Linked DNA regions of Drosophila melanogaster. Changing the gene in region 2 together with the main gene of any one other region gives a genetic interaction. Each region holds a gene or a part of one and is shown on either strand. Other genes may lie near its edges.

Region 1 (4,960 bases), on a different chromosome or scaffold from region 2:
GGAGCCAGCTGGTGTCTGCACCTGTTGGAAACGCTGGATCGTCTGTGGCGTACGCAGAATGGCCTTGGGTGCCAGGGCAGCAACTTTAGCCGCTTCAGCATACTGGCCGGCTGTAAAGAGCTTGTTGAACTTTCGCACAAAGAGATCTTCGGCACCAGCCAAATTGTTGCGCACGGCCATGCGAAGGGCCAAATCGGGATTCTGCAGAACGGTGTTGATGTAGGGAATGATCTGCTCCTCGTCGACGGTCACGGAGAGGACCTGTCCCTTGCGATTGACGCCAATGATGCCACCACTTGCCTCATGCGGTGCGGTAACAAAGATCGTATCGGCCGATATACGATTCATGTATATGCACGTGGCCGTCTCCATGTCATACAGATGTATGTATCCATACTTGGTTATCAAGTAGATGGTGTCGTACTTGGCAGAGACTTGCATAGCCACAGGGAAATCATTTTGTGCTTCCGGCGGAAAGAAGACATCGACAGCCTTCTTGGCAAACGGCTGATTGCCGTTCGGCGGAGCACCAACTTCGATAATATGAAGCTTGCCCCCAGTGGCCGTACGAACTGCAAAGCAGAACAGCGTGGTCGGCTCCTTGTTGGCATCGATTTTAAACGTGGCAAAACTGGCCGCATGCCCCTCGATCGCCTGGGACACCTTACGCTCCACCGAATACAACTGCATGGCACCGGCAACGCGACTTGGCAGTGCCGAAATGCCGACCAAGAGTAGCCACTGCTGGGAGGCATTGCAGCGGTAGTTGATGATTTGACAACCGTTCAGCGATGAATGCCGGTCAAACATCTTTTGCGGCATCGAATCGCCCTCCATGGACCAATGGAACACACTCGTTTCTGTGACCAGAGCTAGCGTATTGAGGGAGATCCACTTCCAGAACACCACATCCTCGTTCATGGTATGCGCCTTCATCTTCGACTTCATCTCAATGTTGAAGATCTGCAACGTCTTTTGCGCTAAAAGAAATATTCTAAAGTTATACATGTTCAAAAATGCATTATCCCAGTCGACCGGAAAAAAACTTTGATCTCTTTCCTTACTATTTGATATTCAAGTTAAAGTTTAAGTGAGGTTTTAAGTTTTCTAGACACGTTGTAATAACAAGCGGACCTGTTTACTAAGCCTACGTTACTTTAAGCTAAAATCTGATCCTCTTCGGACATTCTGATCGACTGGACCATCGGTTTCAGTTACCTTTGAGCGCAATGACCTTGCTAGCTGGATTCATGATAGCCGAATCCGCTGAGATGGGACGCCGCGTGGGATTGGTGGCATCGTTCATGTCAATGATGACCACTTGGGCGGTATCATTCACCTTCTCCCGCACGCAAATAAACTTATCCGATTCCATCGTGAGCGTGCTGAATGAAAATGAATTGGCGTTGATCCCGACATTTGTGAGCTGTCCGTAGTGGAGATTGAAAATGTGTGTTAATTGATAAATCGAAAATCATAGCATACGCACTCATTACACAATATAATCATTCATTATTAATTATTGAACTGGCCTGGATTGACCCACATTTACTATTAAATATTCGCAATACTTTGCTTAAGTTTAGATGTAAATTTGTATTATAACTAGTTCTATAGAAAATACACTGTATACAGACTTGAATAGAAGGTATAGCAAAGTAGAAACTCGACCTAAGCCCCCATATTTTCTGTTTACACGTTGAATTAGAGCTGGAAACCGTGAAATTTTCATAAGAAAAGTGGGGAGCTTATGAATCGGATATAATCGTAGGTAATCGTGGCATATTGGTGGGTTGTACGTATGTGGATATGTAATGATGGTAGATCCAAAATATTTAATATTACTCACCTGTAAATGCTCCTGAAAGCGGATGGGCAGTGGTTGCGTCATCTTTACTACTACAGTGAGGTCTAGTTATTGACAGACCTTTACAACGTAAATGTATCTTTGCGAAAACAATGCCAATACGATGTTTTCTTGAATTGCACACTTGGTAACAGTTTGTATTTGATTTGTTTCGAGGATTTATTGTTGTTTAATTGCGTTCGAGTTTAGTCGGTTTCTGGTTTAAGATTCGGTTTCCATTGGAACGTTTAGCTGCACGAAAGACAAAAGATTTTGGAAAAACATGTAGTTATGGACAGCACTGATGCGGCAAGAATGAGGAAAAATCAAATTGTGGGCGTTATTTTATTGTTGATAGAAAGTGACAGCGTCACCGGATGAAAAAATGAAAGATAAAGGCCTATATGTATGTACATATGGATGTAAACGCCCTTAAAATAAAACACCGAGTCTCTTATTGTATCCCCAATCGCTTTTGTGCAAGAAAATATATAGACGAAATTATTTCCTACGATTAATCCTTTGTATCGGTATTTTTATTCGTTTTCTTGCGTTTTTGCACTTGCCGTTACGACGGGAAAATTACCAGCACTTTATTTTATTTGAGGTGAGCGAGGGAGAGAGAGAGAGAGTGAGAGCGAATCAAGAGAGAGAATTTGAAAAGAAAAGAGGCAGCATTATCATCAAAAATCGCTGCTCACCACAGAAAAAGTCAGCCATGTTGAGTTGCGCTTTGAACAATTAGTCACTGACTAATACATGTACAGCAATTTTGCTCTTGTTTTCCCTCCCCCTGTGTGTGCATGAAAATCGAAAATCGCATTTAAATATCACTGTTTTGCGCCTGATAACAATGGGACAATGCCATGAAATTGACGAAATTCGGTGTATATACATCAAATTGAGTAGCGGTAATTCCCAATTCACACGCACACAGCAGCACTCGCGCACACACACTCACAGATGAGCGCGCACACTTGCAGTGCCGCAATATGCCACATAAACAAGAACATAATTAGATAAACGGTAAATTAATCGGATGCTTTTACATCAAATAAACAAAATTTGTATGTATATATTGCATTTGCAAGCGAACACACACACGCACTTTAGCACTTTACATTTTTTCCCAATGAATCGAAAGATATTTGGAGCCCGTATGCTTACTGCAATTTAACAAAAATGTACGCTAAGTACTATCATACTCGAAATAATCACGTCGGTTTGTTGCTAGATGACGGGCACACACACTGAAGACAAACTGAGCTCTTATCAAGCTCTAACAAATGTAGTTTATTTTTCTTTTGTTTGACTAAATACTGACTGCAAGACAAGGTAGAGGTGTGAAAGTTATACAATTAATGCCGATATATACGGCAAATATGCAATTGCGTGGAGTGAAAAAACATCGATACCACATTCAACATTCGAATCGATATTTGTATCGCACGATCCTACTGTTACACGTATTTATTCATAATATTCGAATGTAATTATTATTTAGGTAAATGTAGTATAACTTTGTAAGGAACAACAAATTTATTTTATTTTATCAGCTTCATTTATATTTTGCCGATAACAAGTTTTTAGATCATAATACATACGTAAGGTTAACAGGTGTTATCGAGTGATCCAATTGGATATATTCTCTAATTGGAAATCTATTTTTTATAGCAATTTAATTTGGAATGTGAAGTTATTATACCCGTTACTCGTAGAGTAACAGAACACACCCCAGAAAAAATTATTAAATTTCACGTTTGCACTCACACTATCTGCGTAACGGGTATCTGATAGTCGGAGAACGGGACTAAAGCATTCTCTTTCGTTAATTTTTAAAAATATATATACATTAATTATCTTGCTTAAGTGCTGGATAATAAGTAGGCGATAATTTTAACATTGTTCCTATGCAATACTATTTTTAAGTAGGCGATGATTTTAACTTTGTTCTTTTTCAATACTATTTTTGACATTTACACTCAATGTGCTACAGAAACAACAACTTTAGGATTTGCTCCAAACATTTTTTTTATTGTTTTTATCATTTGGAAAACCGAGTCCCAACAATAAAATCTTAATCTATGAGGTAAGCAGCAGTATCCGATTTTGAAGCACCTTTTGGCGATAGAATCTATACCGTCTTGACTTGACTGATCAAGGGCATGACAAAGGATGGGGCAAGGAGCTAGACGAATATTGCGGGCGTCCCGCTCGCAGATTTGCGGTAGTCTTCGAACGGGCGAAGGGTCCAGCACCTCAGCAAGTTGTCGAAAAGGTACACATAATCATTTTTGTCCTGCAGGCACAAAAATTTGGAAATTCTTTTATTAAAAGCAAAAGCGATGTCACTCTCTACCATGAGCAATCCCTTGAGGACTTCTGAAAGTTTTTCATTATTGCAGTGGTAAAAAACCCAGCTGGATTGTCCGAATTTGACCAGTGCTCGATGCTTTGGCCGTTCGCAGTCTGCCGCATTCCTGCTAGGCGTCCCACCCGCCCAGGATTCCTCAACCCAGGGCCATTGGGAGAGGATCCGTCGCTAACAGAATAAGGTAAACTGATAAACTCCTCGTTTCCCAGGGAAATTCTTTTATTAATATAAGTTTCTTCTACAGTATATACAGACGTTCTTACGACTCGGTTTTGGGATCTAGGAAGCCCAGGATAAATGGCAGAATGCTGCGGACTCTGAGCTTTGTCAATCATATTCATTTTGATAACATAAAGATACCACTAAATTCTGTTTTTATTTTTCTTCGTTTTCATGTTTACCTAGATTATTTTAATATATATTTACATTGAAACGTTGTTGTCATTCAAATAATATACCCTTCTCTGTGGGAGCCAATAATAATGCAAGTTCCAATTTTTTATACCCGTTACTCGTAAGGGTAAGATTCGTTGAAACTGGCAGAAGGAAGCGTTTCCGACCATATAATCTATATATATATATATATTCTTGATCAGGAGAAATAGCCGAGTCGATCTGGTCATGTCCGTCTGTCCGTATGAACGTCGAGAACTATAAAAGCTAGAAGGTTGAGAGTCCCAAGTTGAGATCCATGTTGCCACGCCCACTCTAACGCCATAATACAGCCCCGCCAAGATTAT
Region 2 (5,255 bases):
AATCAAGCTGGTACAATAACAGTACCTGGCCACCGCAACTTTGAGCTTTTGATACGACTCTTAAGTAATTCCCGGGTAACCATTGCCGAGCCGGCTGGTTTGAGGGTCTTCAGTGTCAGACTTTTAGTACGACCTACCGCAACGAAACCTGTTCAGTCTGGAAGCCCTAGAAGATCCGCTCTCGGGACAGCGCACTCCAGACGATGACACATTTCACATTTCACACTTCAGCTCGTGCGTTGGCCCCCAAAGAGACCAGATCGGCCCACCAACCTGTGACTCCACTGGCAGTCGAAAGGAAACAGAGTTTCACTTTCAATTGCGACACCCAGGGCCAAGTAGGTAGGTGGGAGCGGTGCCAGAAGGGAGGCGAGTGGGAGGGGGTTGGTGGGCGCAGGGAAGCGACTAACACGAGTAATGTTAATTAAAAGACAAAAACATAATTTAACGCTGGGCATCGCGGCGGCGAGCTATCTTGGAAGTTACGATCTCGGCATTTCTCATCTCATTGCGCATCGTCCGCCACGAAAATACGAATGTGTGGATAAGTAAAGAGCTCGTTTTGGGCCCTCCACCTTGGGTGGGAAATGTTAATCATAAAAAGTAAAAGTAAAATATTACGGGTCGAGTCAGCACTAGCTTCGTTAGCCGCCCCTCGCATTTGCATTTCGCACATGGCAGTGGCGACAGCCACTGCACCAGCTGGCAGGCACAGAAAACGTCGTCGTCGTCGATTACAATCGATTGCCTACGCGGGCTACACGGGAAAAAATCTGAGTTAGGGGGAGCACCAAGTAGCTGTGCTGATGTGTAATATCTGTACCGGTCGAGCCCTGGCCACGTCCAAATCCCTCTGGGACGTGTAAATTGAAGTATGAGCTGAGCCCCGAAAGAATCATATTCATTCTCGCAGTGTACTTGTGCCACCGACCCCTTTGATTTGGGTTCAACCTCTCCAGCTGGAGGCGTGAGCGATTGCAGGCGTGGCCGCCATTTAAATTCAGTCTTTGTTGTATGCCCGCCTCACAATATCCGACGCGTTGCAGAGCAAACTCGACTTGATTGACACCTGACAGGGGCCCCAAGAAGTTAATGGAAGCCCAATTGAGCCTCCCCCTCTTTAGGTCACAGAGAGAGCTGGTTTCGCCGGGGCAGCTATTCTAAGCAACGTGGCTGTAAGCCCGTGATTAAGTGGATTCCGAATGCAAAAGACATCGCTCTCTGCATGACTCGAATCGAATCAAGGGAAACTATAAGTGCAGACTGCATTTCAAATTTCATCACTCGTCCCCAAGCCGCTGTTATGCGACGCTTATGACCGCAACAGTGGGCTACGCTCGAGATGAATGTCTTGGCTTCCGCCTCTTACTCATCGCTACAATCTTCAGATGGCGTTAGTGACGTAATTCTTAGCGGTAAGCAGTGACCCAAAAGACGGACCGCTGTCCAAATTTAACTGCAGTGTCAACTCTGTCAAAGTCTCCCGACCGGAGAGGACGGAACGGCTGAAAAGAGTCCTGAAAGTCCGTACAGTTCAAGTTCGGAACTAGTTTTAACGCTCTTAGGGTAACTTTGTCGAATCGGTATGCGATCGAGATTGTCAATGAGCATGGTCTATTAGGTGGTATAATTATCTTGTTTGCCTAGTGTGTTCTCAGAATTATTTAAAATGGTTCTCCGAAAAACTATTGAAATACTAATGAAAGTAAAGCTTGCCTACCTATTGTAAAAGTAAGCTCTTCGAAACAAATTCTGTTTTGTCCAAATGGGAGTACATTTTATTCGATTTCTTTAAAAATTATAAACCTCCGAATGAATGTTTCATTTTCATTTGAAGTGTCAGCTATTAGCACAATTAGTAATTATTTCTATGTGCATGACAAATTTGAACAAAGGGCGATAATAACGTTTAGTCTTGCGAAGTTAATTTTCAATTTAAGGAAGTACCTTGGCCAGCATGACATCTCGTCTCGGGAACAATTAACACAATTGTCTTGCCAGATTCTGTCGATATTCCGAAATATTTTAAGACTACCTATTGCATTTAGTAGCACAGTTTTGCAATCATTAAATAAAAATAAATCGGTTAATACTAATCAATTTTATCATGGAAAAATTGGCAACTATGTTTTGGAAACAAAGAAAAACACTAAAGAATTTACAGGTATTTGCTGTGCCCTTGTCCCGATTTCTAGCAATAAATCGATTTGCTGACCGCGTAATCTTTAGGAATAGGGTTCATGGCCACCTGCAAGCAAGCCAAGTCATAGGAAGAAGCGATAGCGTGGATTTAGGCAGGAGTATTGGAGAAGAGGCGCAAAGCGATGTAGTTGGCCGAGTCGAGTTGAAAGTGAAAGTTTTGCCGAGCAGAGCGCAGCGATTTGCGTCGACGAGCAATGCTCGGTTAGCCACCCAGAGCTCCATTGTCAGCGGCAATAGTAGCGGCGGACGTGAACTTTAGCGGCCGCGTTTGAGTTGAAAACGCAATTTACAATTTTCCTAATTGTTTCTTTCAGCTTTTTGTCGGCCAATTTTCCTTTATTAGTTACTTATTGGATTGTCGTTAGCGTGACCGAGGCGTATGCGTAATATCTTTGCCAACGCCCGATGAGAAAATCGAATTGCCGGTAATCGTCGCATTGACCGCTCACAGAAAGCGTTACCCAGCAGAATAGAAAGACAGAAAGATCTCTAGACGAATCTTTATCATCTTATTTTTCATCTCTCATTTGTGGTTCATTTAATGCAAATTATGGTATCGATTACTTCTGTTTTGAATGTTGAACTTTCCAGTTTCATTCGACCAGAAGATGAATGATCTTAGGTAGAGCACGTTGTTACTCAGGAAATGCGGCTTTCGACGTTTCAGCATCGTTTCCGTCAAAGTAAAAACTGTAGCGTGCAAACGAAAGTTTCAATTTATTTGGTGTTTCGCTTTCTGAGCCCAACGCACCCAGCACATCACGCAAAAGCAGCCAAACTGCAGAGGAGCAGCCATACCTGGCCTGTAAATAATTTATTTGAGAACACGCGGGAAATCTGTTAAGCCAGCATTCCTTATTTATTGGATATTGATTGCAATAGCACTGAAGCGGGTAATCGTCATTATTTTAACAGCTATTCTTAACTTTTGTTTTCCACTTTTGTTGATTATCGCCTAATTTCTAATACCAAGTCAGCTAAGTTGCGGAAGAAACCAGTTTAATTAATTTTTAATAAATTTATTAAAACCATTATTATTATATTATTATTATTATCGTCAGAAATTTGATACCAGAAATTTATAAATACTGGAAGCTTGCGGCACAAACAAAAAGCAATGGATGGCAGAGACTGGTTATATCGAAAAAAACACATCGAAAGGGATGGTAAAATCTTTTTTTAGTACCTTATGAACGGGCTGTTGAAATTATTTTGAAGTGTGTTATAAGAAAAAATACAATTTTAGCCGCCGTTTACAGAAGTTAATATTCTAATACAATTTCACGTGTCTCTTTTATTTTGATCTGTCCTTTAGCTTGGTTCAACAGCGACTGACTGCCGCGCTCTCTGCAGAGTGGCGAGTCGATTAGTCGATAAGTTTCTCGATAATATTTGTATGTTAAGGATGGGTGTATGAGTGTATAAGCTTATGACTAGATTGGCTATGTATAATTAGGTATGTATGACTAAGAGTAAAGGAAGAGGGTAGAAGGAGCAGCCTACTACAACTCGGCCGTCCTGACAACTAGATCTCCCGATCGTAGGATTTTATAACAATTAACGTTTCTTAAAGCTAAGGGTCCTGTTTCTTATTTTATTCTTCTTAGTGGAGATACTTTTGAACGGTCTTAAACATTTTTTTGGTTTTCTTTTCTTCTTGTTTGTTTTCTTTGTTTTACAATTGCTTCTTAAATTATACTTTCTATTTCGTACAGAGTTTCTTAAATTATACTTTCTATTTTGTACAGAGTTTCTCAAATTATACTTTCTATTTTGTACAGAGTTTCTCAAATTATACTTTCTATTTTGTAGACTCTTAATTTTTCTTTGCCAGTGTTTTATATTCTGTATGCTCCATACACCCCGGTAAGGATTGCGAGAAATTTGAAATCCATCAACATCTTCCAGAAGGAAGCGATCATTTTTGAGAACTTTGCTTATGACATAGGGTCCTTTATGCTTTGGAATTAACTTCTTAGCTATGCCTGTTGTTGAGTCAAAATTTTTAACCATGACGTAGTCGCCTTTTGTGAACACTCCTGATCGTTTTCGTTTTTTGTCAACATATTCTTTATTGTATGCTTGTGCTATTTTCTGACTTGCCTCGCCTTTATTTCTAATACTTTCTAAATCTCTTTCTTCAATCGTTTCTCCAATTTCCTCAATTTTTTCTTTTAACTCATCCATAATTTGTCCTTTTTGTTGTAACCCAAATAACATTATGCTAGGATACTGTTTAATGCTGCGGTGTAGTGTATTGTTCAGGGTATATTCGACCTTTTCTAAGACTAAGTCCCAGTGTAGACCTTGATCAGGTTCAATTAACTTGCTAATCATTGGACCAAGACTTCGGTTTATACGTTCAACTTGACCGTTGGCTTGTGGCGATCCTGTTGCAATTTTTATGTGTTTAACATTGCATTCTTTCAAAAATGAGTCAAAATCGCCAGACGTGAAACATGCTCCTCTATCTGATATGATACACTTAGGCCTACTGTATGCTCTGAAGTAGTCATTTAACGATTGTATGACTTCTTTTGTGTTCGTAGTTTTTGTTGCGTATAGTCTGACAAACTTTGTGAATGCATCTACTATCACTAGAATATGTTTCTTCGGTCTAGCCAAGTCTACTGGACCATAATGGTCAATATGGATTATTTCAAAAGGTTTGTTTCCCTTAGGTATGTTGTGTAGAAATCCTTCTGTTTTTCCTGTTTTGGGACTGAATGAAATACATTTTAAACAGTTGCTGATATGTGTGCTACACTTCTGTTTTAAATTTGGAAACCAATAGTTTTTCATTATAGCTTCTATCATTTTGTCTCTTCCTACGTGTCCAAGTTCGTTGTGATATTTGTATAACACTTGTTCTTCCATTTCTATCGGAACGTAGAACAGCAATCTATTTTCATTTGTCTTTTTGTAAACTATACCATTTCTCATCTCATACAATTTATTTTCTGTGTTTTCTAACAATTGCCTGATTTCTTTTAATTTTGTATCTTTCCCTTGACATATAACTAGATTATCTTCGAAACTGTTTGTTTGTATTA
Region 3 (5,347 bases), on a different chromosome or scaffold from region 2:
GTGATCAGTGGATCCGCACTCACCAGCTTGATGATCTTGATCAGCATCCAATTGTTGGTCGATGTGGTCATTAGCTTGAAGAAGATCGGCGCCAAGGGCAGGTAGTTTTTTGGATTCTTACGTGCTAGTTCACAAATCACATTCACGGCAGCTGATTGAACACCTGTAAAACCCAAAATAGTAGTGCATTAGATATATGAATTGCATGGAAATATCAGCAGGATGATATATATATGTATGTTGTTTAAACCTGGATCAGGATCCTCAAGTTTCTCTTTGAGTTTGGGAAATGCCGGTCTCAATGCCTCGGGATAGCGTAGAAATACTTTATACATCATAAGGACGGCTTTCATGCGCAGATACGGTTTTGTTGAACTCATCTGCAGATTAGTTGCGATAGGTACAAATCAATCAAAGTGTCATAATATCCATACCAGTGTCATAATATCATTGGCCAAGTCGCGGGACAGATCGGGCGATATAAAGCAGCTCAGTCCACTGAGCGCCACACCCGCATCGTATTGATTCTGTGAGTTGAGATCCTTGCGTATCATATTCGTGGTCAGCATGAGCAGCTGCAATGTGCGGAAAATAGAAATCGAAATTAAATGCTTTCTTTAATGCAGTAAGTAATGTGAATATTACCTCGCTGTCCGGATGGAAACATTGGCTAGCCGCCAGATAGCCAATTCGCTTGCAGGTAAATCTGGATGAGCTCATCACCTCGATGATATTGAAGCCCGCCCAGGAGATGTCGTAGCCCAGCATTTGTATCTGTCGCAAGCGAAATCGAATCAATAAATATTAACATTTTCTGCTGATTTTGTGCAAATGTATGCCTGTGAAATATGTGCAGAGGATAGGCCCAAGGACTCTCGTTAGCATTAAAATCGCCTTAGTTGCACCTAACACTCGAGGGTAAGTCACTAGTTACCTAGACTTGGCAATCGAACTATAAATGATAAAAACCATTTAGCTTATGCACTAGATTTCAGTTTCAGCCAACTGGTTTTAGGTTTTGCAGGATAGCAGTGCTATTTTGGCCAACACAACTGTGCCAACTTTTGATGGCATCTTTTGGATCGCTTGTTAGTGGTGGGCACACCACCACCACCACCACCACCACCACACCCAGCGGTGTGGGCGTGGAACAAAGGTTGCTCCTTCGTTCGCCTTGTTTCCGCCGATTCAGTTGTTAGCTTAACGGCTGTTGCTGTTTTAGTCCTTATTGTCGCACTTGCCTACAAGGACCCCCCATATATACCGACCGGCCGCCAGGCAATTTGCATCAAGTGCAGCCATGCACTTGGTCGACTTTGAATGGCTGCCACCAGAATCCGGTGCACATCCATGCACACGCAATCATCTGCACTGATGATTCTAATGAAGGGGAATCCTGAATCCTCTTTGGGCTGTCGGTGCGTATAATCAGCTTATTTTTGAACAGCACATTTGCGATTGTCTAATTAACCATTTTAAAACACCCCTATAAATTTTAAAAGTCCCTCATCATTGTTCGCAAATAGTGAGTTAATCATCTGTGGTGCGTCTTTGGTTTAAGGATTCCAAGATTCAACTTACGTAGGTCAACTTGGCCACTGCATTACACTTGACACTTATATTGTCCTGTCGCAGCTCCTGTTTGATCTCCTCAATGCACGTCGATATGTATTTGGCCTGCGGAGAAAGTTATTGTCAATCAATATGTTTATATTCGAAATATAGTATGTGAAAATGCGAAATGTGCAATGGCAGCGCAGAGTAAAACAACAAACATATCTGAGAATCGTCGTGGGGCTATCAGTTTTATGCCCACAGCAATAGAACAAAAATAAAGAAAAACACAAATTCCAAATCATACAGTGGCGGGTAGAATAATAGTGTTGTTGCATTAATTCCGATGCAGTTGTTAATAAAATCGAATGTAAATATACAAAGTTTGATTGTTTACTCTTCATTTGTGCTGTACAAAATGGAAATATAATGGCCGCCTTAAGTTGTTTACATGAAAAGTTATATGGAAACTGCGCTAGCTGATGAGTAACATTTAGTTGAGATTAAAAATGCACAATTTTCAATTAATATTTATTTTTTTATCTTACTGAAACGAATGAATGCTATAATTTTAAGCACATTTGTAAATCAGCGCTTACAGTGGACCACACAAGAGCAAAAATAACAATCGAAATGCGCAGTGGAAGATATAGAAATCGAATTCAATCAAGAGCCACTTATTTTTTTGTTTACGTAGACAAACTTAGTTATTCTTGCATATATTCTTATTTCTCAATTGTTCTTGTTGCACGATATGCAAACCATAACTGGATGGAAACTGATTTTTTGGCAATTTATTTATTATTATTTTTATTGCATTAATATTTGCAATTACTAACAATCGAAGCAAATGAAGCTACAATTTTATTTTTGCAAATCACACGCAATTTTCTCTCCGTGTGAAAACTCAAGTACCGTTAGCCGATCCTGCCAAGCATTCTGATAAGGACCGAATAAAAAGACCAACGGCGGGGGAATTAACGTGGGTAAATATTTGATAAAAGCCACTTGCTAATTAATTTGGTGCGTTGGGAGTTTCTGCGTTCGGTTTTGTGGTTCTTTTCAAGCTTTTCCTGCTTTTCCTTTTGCACTGTTGGCAGATGCCAAAACATTCACACACACAAACACACAGCCACTTTCACCCACACACACACACACGCACACATGCAAGCACACCAAACTCTAATAAGATTCCCTTAATGCAAACGAAATTTGTCAGCCAATTAGCGAGTTCTAATTGGACGCACAGCTGGGCCGCTTGGGGGGGGCGTGGCAGTTGGAGGACAGCTGTTTTGGTGGGCGGTGGAGGCGGGGCTGCACGCTTACCTCATTATCCTTGTTGTTCCTAATGCCGCGCACCAAATCGGTGAGGTTTTTATCAAACATACGCTCGAAAAAGTTACCCTTCACTTTTTTCAGTGCCATGTTTGCAGTTGCTGTTGTTTTTGTTTTTCTTTTTGCTGCACTCCGTGGCGTTACTTTGATTTGCAATCGGTGTCTCGATTGGGAAATTGGGCTATTTTGGCGAAGCGATTTCAGCACATCACCGGCGGCAGCACAAAGCACTCACTTCCGTCTTTTTCCGATTTGTTTTCGTTTTTTTTTTAACTTTAATACGCTCGCAAACTAGAGGTGGTACGCAAATTTGTGTTTAATCGATACTATCGATGTTTGCTGCACGTTGGTGGTTGGCTACGCTGAATAGTAGGTGGCTGCACTCGCTAGCGGTGAAATGTTAACCGCTTCGTGGACTGTCGATAACTCGCTGCGCATTCGATTACAAAACCGTTTTGAGATCAGAAAGTTTGAGTGAGAGTGAGAAGGAAATAATATAAATAACTGAATATTTCGGCTTTCTTTTTATACGCATTTACAATAATTGAATAAATAACTATTACACTCTTATAACCCAAATTTTTGTAATTTATAATAATTAAATAGAGACGGAAACTTTCAATGCAAGTTGCGTTTATTTCGAGCTCGCATTACGGTTTAAAACTGTTCAAAACATTAACTTTTTTAAAACATTCTTTTAAAGTACGTAACATTCTCTTATTCTCTTTAATTACAACATGGCAATTGGCAAATGCACTTACGAAAATCTATTTCAACTAAGCTTCGATGTAAAAAAAATTATGGGATTCGCAAACAAAATAGAACGTTGCGTTTTTCGACAAACAAATTGTCGCTTAATACTTTCGTTACAACTACTCAATAATTTTGTATTGGAGATATCTTAAGTTGATGGCTTGCAGCCAGGCGATTGACGGCAAAGCTTGAGATATATATGTATAGAGGTTGTTTTCGATTCGAAGGCTTAGTTAATAATTGGATTAGTTTGTTTGGTTGGATTGGCTCCAATGATATCGAGATATCTCAAATATTTAGCAGCAATTGAACTGAATGGAGTGCTGATGCTGTATGGGATTTGGGATTTGGTATGATGTATGGACACTGGGATAAACCGATTGCATGGACATTGGTCGCTATTCCTGAGTGGACGGCGTACATATCACGAAGCGACTGTTCACGGCGAACACATTGCTCATGCGCATGTGCTCGAAGGTCAGGGGTTTGCTCAAATTGGTGTCCCTCTTCTTGTAGTACTCGTTGAAGTCCAGCCGAGTGCCAAAGAGCTGCAAATTCGGATCGTCGCTAGAGTTGAGAGACATTAGGAAAGTGCTGACAGCCTTTTCGTAATCGGTTGCTATGACTTCTAAGCCGCGGCAGGCGATGTCCATCTTTTCGGCAAATATCTTCGCCTCCTGGTCGCGCTGCAGGATCATCTTGTTGGTCAGTCCGTAGACACCCTTCTTTTCCGATTTCTCCACAATTTTGGACAGTTCCTTGCGGGCATTTAGCTCCTTAAAGCAGTCCTTGTAAAAGCTCGACTGCCACTTCTCCAATTCGATAATGTTCTCGTACACCACCTCCAGCGAATGCTCCACACTCGCTTTGTTGCTGACAAAACAGCCCACCAAAATCGTTTGCAGAAACTTCTCGTGAGCTTCCAGGATTTCGTCCAACGTAGTAGCCTTCTGCATCTTCTTCTGTAGCTCCACCCAGTTGCACTCGATGACCTCAAATAGCACATAGTACTGCATTTGGTGGATAAAGTGCATGATCTCGGAAGTGAAAAGGTTGAGGCGGTGTGACGCCTTGCCGATTTCGGACTTCATTGTACGAAGGGCCTGAAAAGATGTTTAATAAACAATATAATTCCAAAGGTGAGCCACATAAAAACAAAAAAGTTTATAATAAGACTTACAGAATAGGACTACTCAAGAAAATTGAAAAAAGTTCAAATGTAGCAAGCTTATTATATTTATACTTGTAAAAAACGTTTTCAACAGCGCTATGAAACATTTTTGAGGTAATACGGTGATAATAATATCTTGTTCTCTTAATGAACTATTGCACATTATTCAATTTTCAAAAAACCATTTCTAATTGGACAATGTTTATCGTAACGGCAACGCTGTGTGTTAACAGCGATACACCGATTGCAATCGTCTATCGACGGCAGCATTGTTTACATTCGTGATTTGTCGCTTTCAGAATCCCTTTATCTCCCGTTATCAGTGTCGCACGGCGACGAAGATTACGTCCCACGAAAGTCACATTGTCAGCGAGATGGCCCTCTCGATCTTCAAAGACTTGCCGGCGGAGCATCCTCGCCACTTGATTCCCTCGCTATGCAGGCAATTCTATCATTTGGGATGGGTGACCGGCACAGGAGGTGGCATGAGCATTAAGTACAAGTGAGTACAAGTGATACTATACATCTATCCAG

What was found. A genetic interaction does not mean that the proteins touch.
Region 1: of aux (region 2) and Chc, changing one suppresses a phenotype caused by changing the other (phenotypic suppression), as found in Drosophila melanogaster (2 studies listed by BioGRID).
Region 3: of aux (region 2) and g, changing one enhances a phenotype caused by changing the other (phenotypic enhancement), as found in Drosophila melanogaster (one study listed by BioGRID).

The regions. Positions count from the first base shown.
Region 1 is NC_004354.4:15,832,274-15,837,233, forward strand, and holds the start of Chc (clathrin heavy chain), read right to left. Parts: upstream 3,218-4,960; 5' UTR 3,014-3,217; exon of another isoform or gene 2,955-3,013; intron 2,640-2,954; exon of another isoform or gene 2,548-2,639; intron 2,482-2,547; exon of another isoform or gene 2,359-2,481; intron 2,099-2,358; 5' UTR 1,892-2,098; coding exon 1,850-1,891; intron 1,427-1,849; coding exon 1,219-1,426; intron 981-1,218; coding exon 1-980. UniProt on the Drosophila melanogaster protein: Clathrin is the major protein of the polyhedral coat of coated pits and vesicles.
Region 2 is NT_033777.3:4,209,832-4,215,086, reverse strand, and holds the start of aux (auxilin), read right to left. Parts: upstream 3,305-5,255; 5' UTR 3,275-3,304; intron 3,180-3,274; 5' UTR 3,172-3,179; intron 1-3,171.
Region 3 is NC_004354.4:13,733,062-13,738,408, forward strand, and holds the start of g (garnet), read right to left. Parts: upstream 3,218-5,347; 5' UTR 2,980-3,217; coding exon 2,881-2,979; intron 2,629-2,880; exon of another isoform or gene 2,470-2,628; intron 1,678-2,469; coding exon 1,582-1,677; intron 775-1,581; coding exon 646-774; intron 576-645; coding exon 435-575; intron 381-434; coding exon 251-380; intron 164-250; coding exon 24-163; intron 1-23. Other genes in the region: Grip91 (Gamma-tubulin ring protein 91), read right to left, coding at 4,041-4,745; CG11134 (uncharacterized protein), read left to right, coding at 5,188-5,315. UniProt on the Drosophila melanogaster protein: Part of the AP-3 complex, an adapter-related complex which is not clathrin-associated. The complex is associated with the Golgi region as well as more peripheral structures.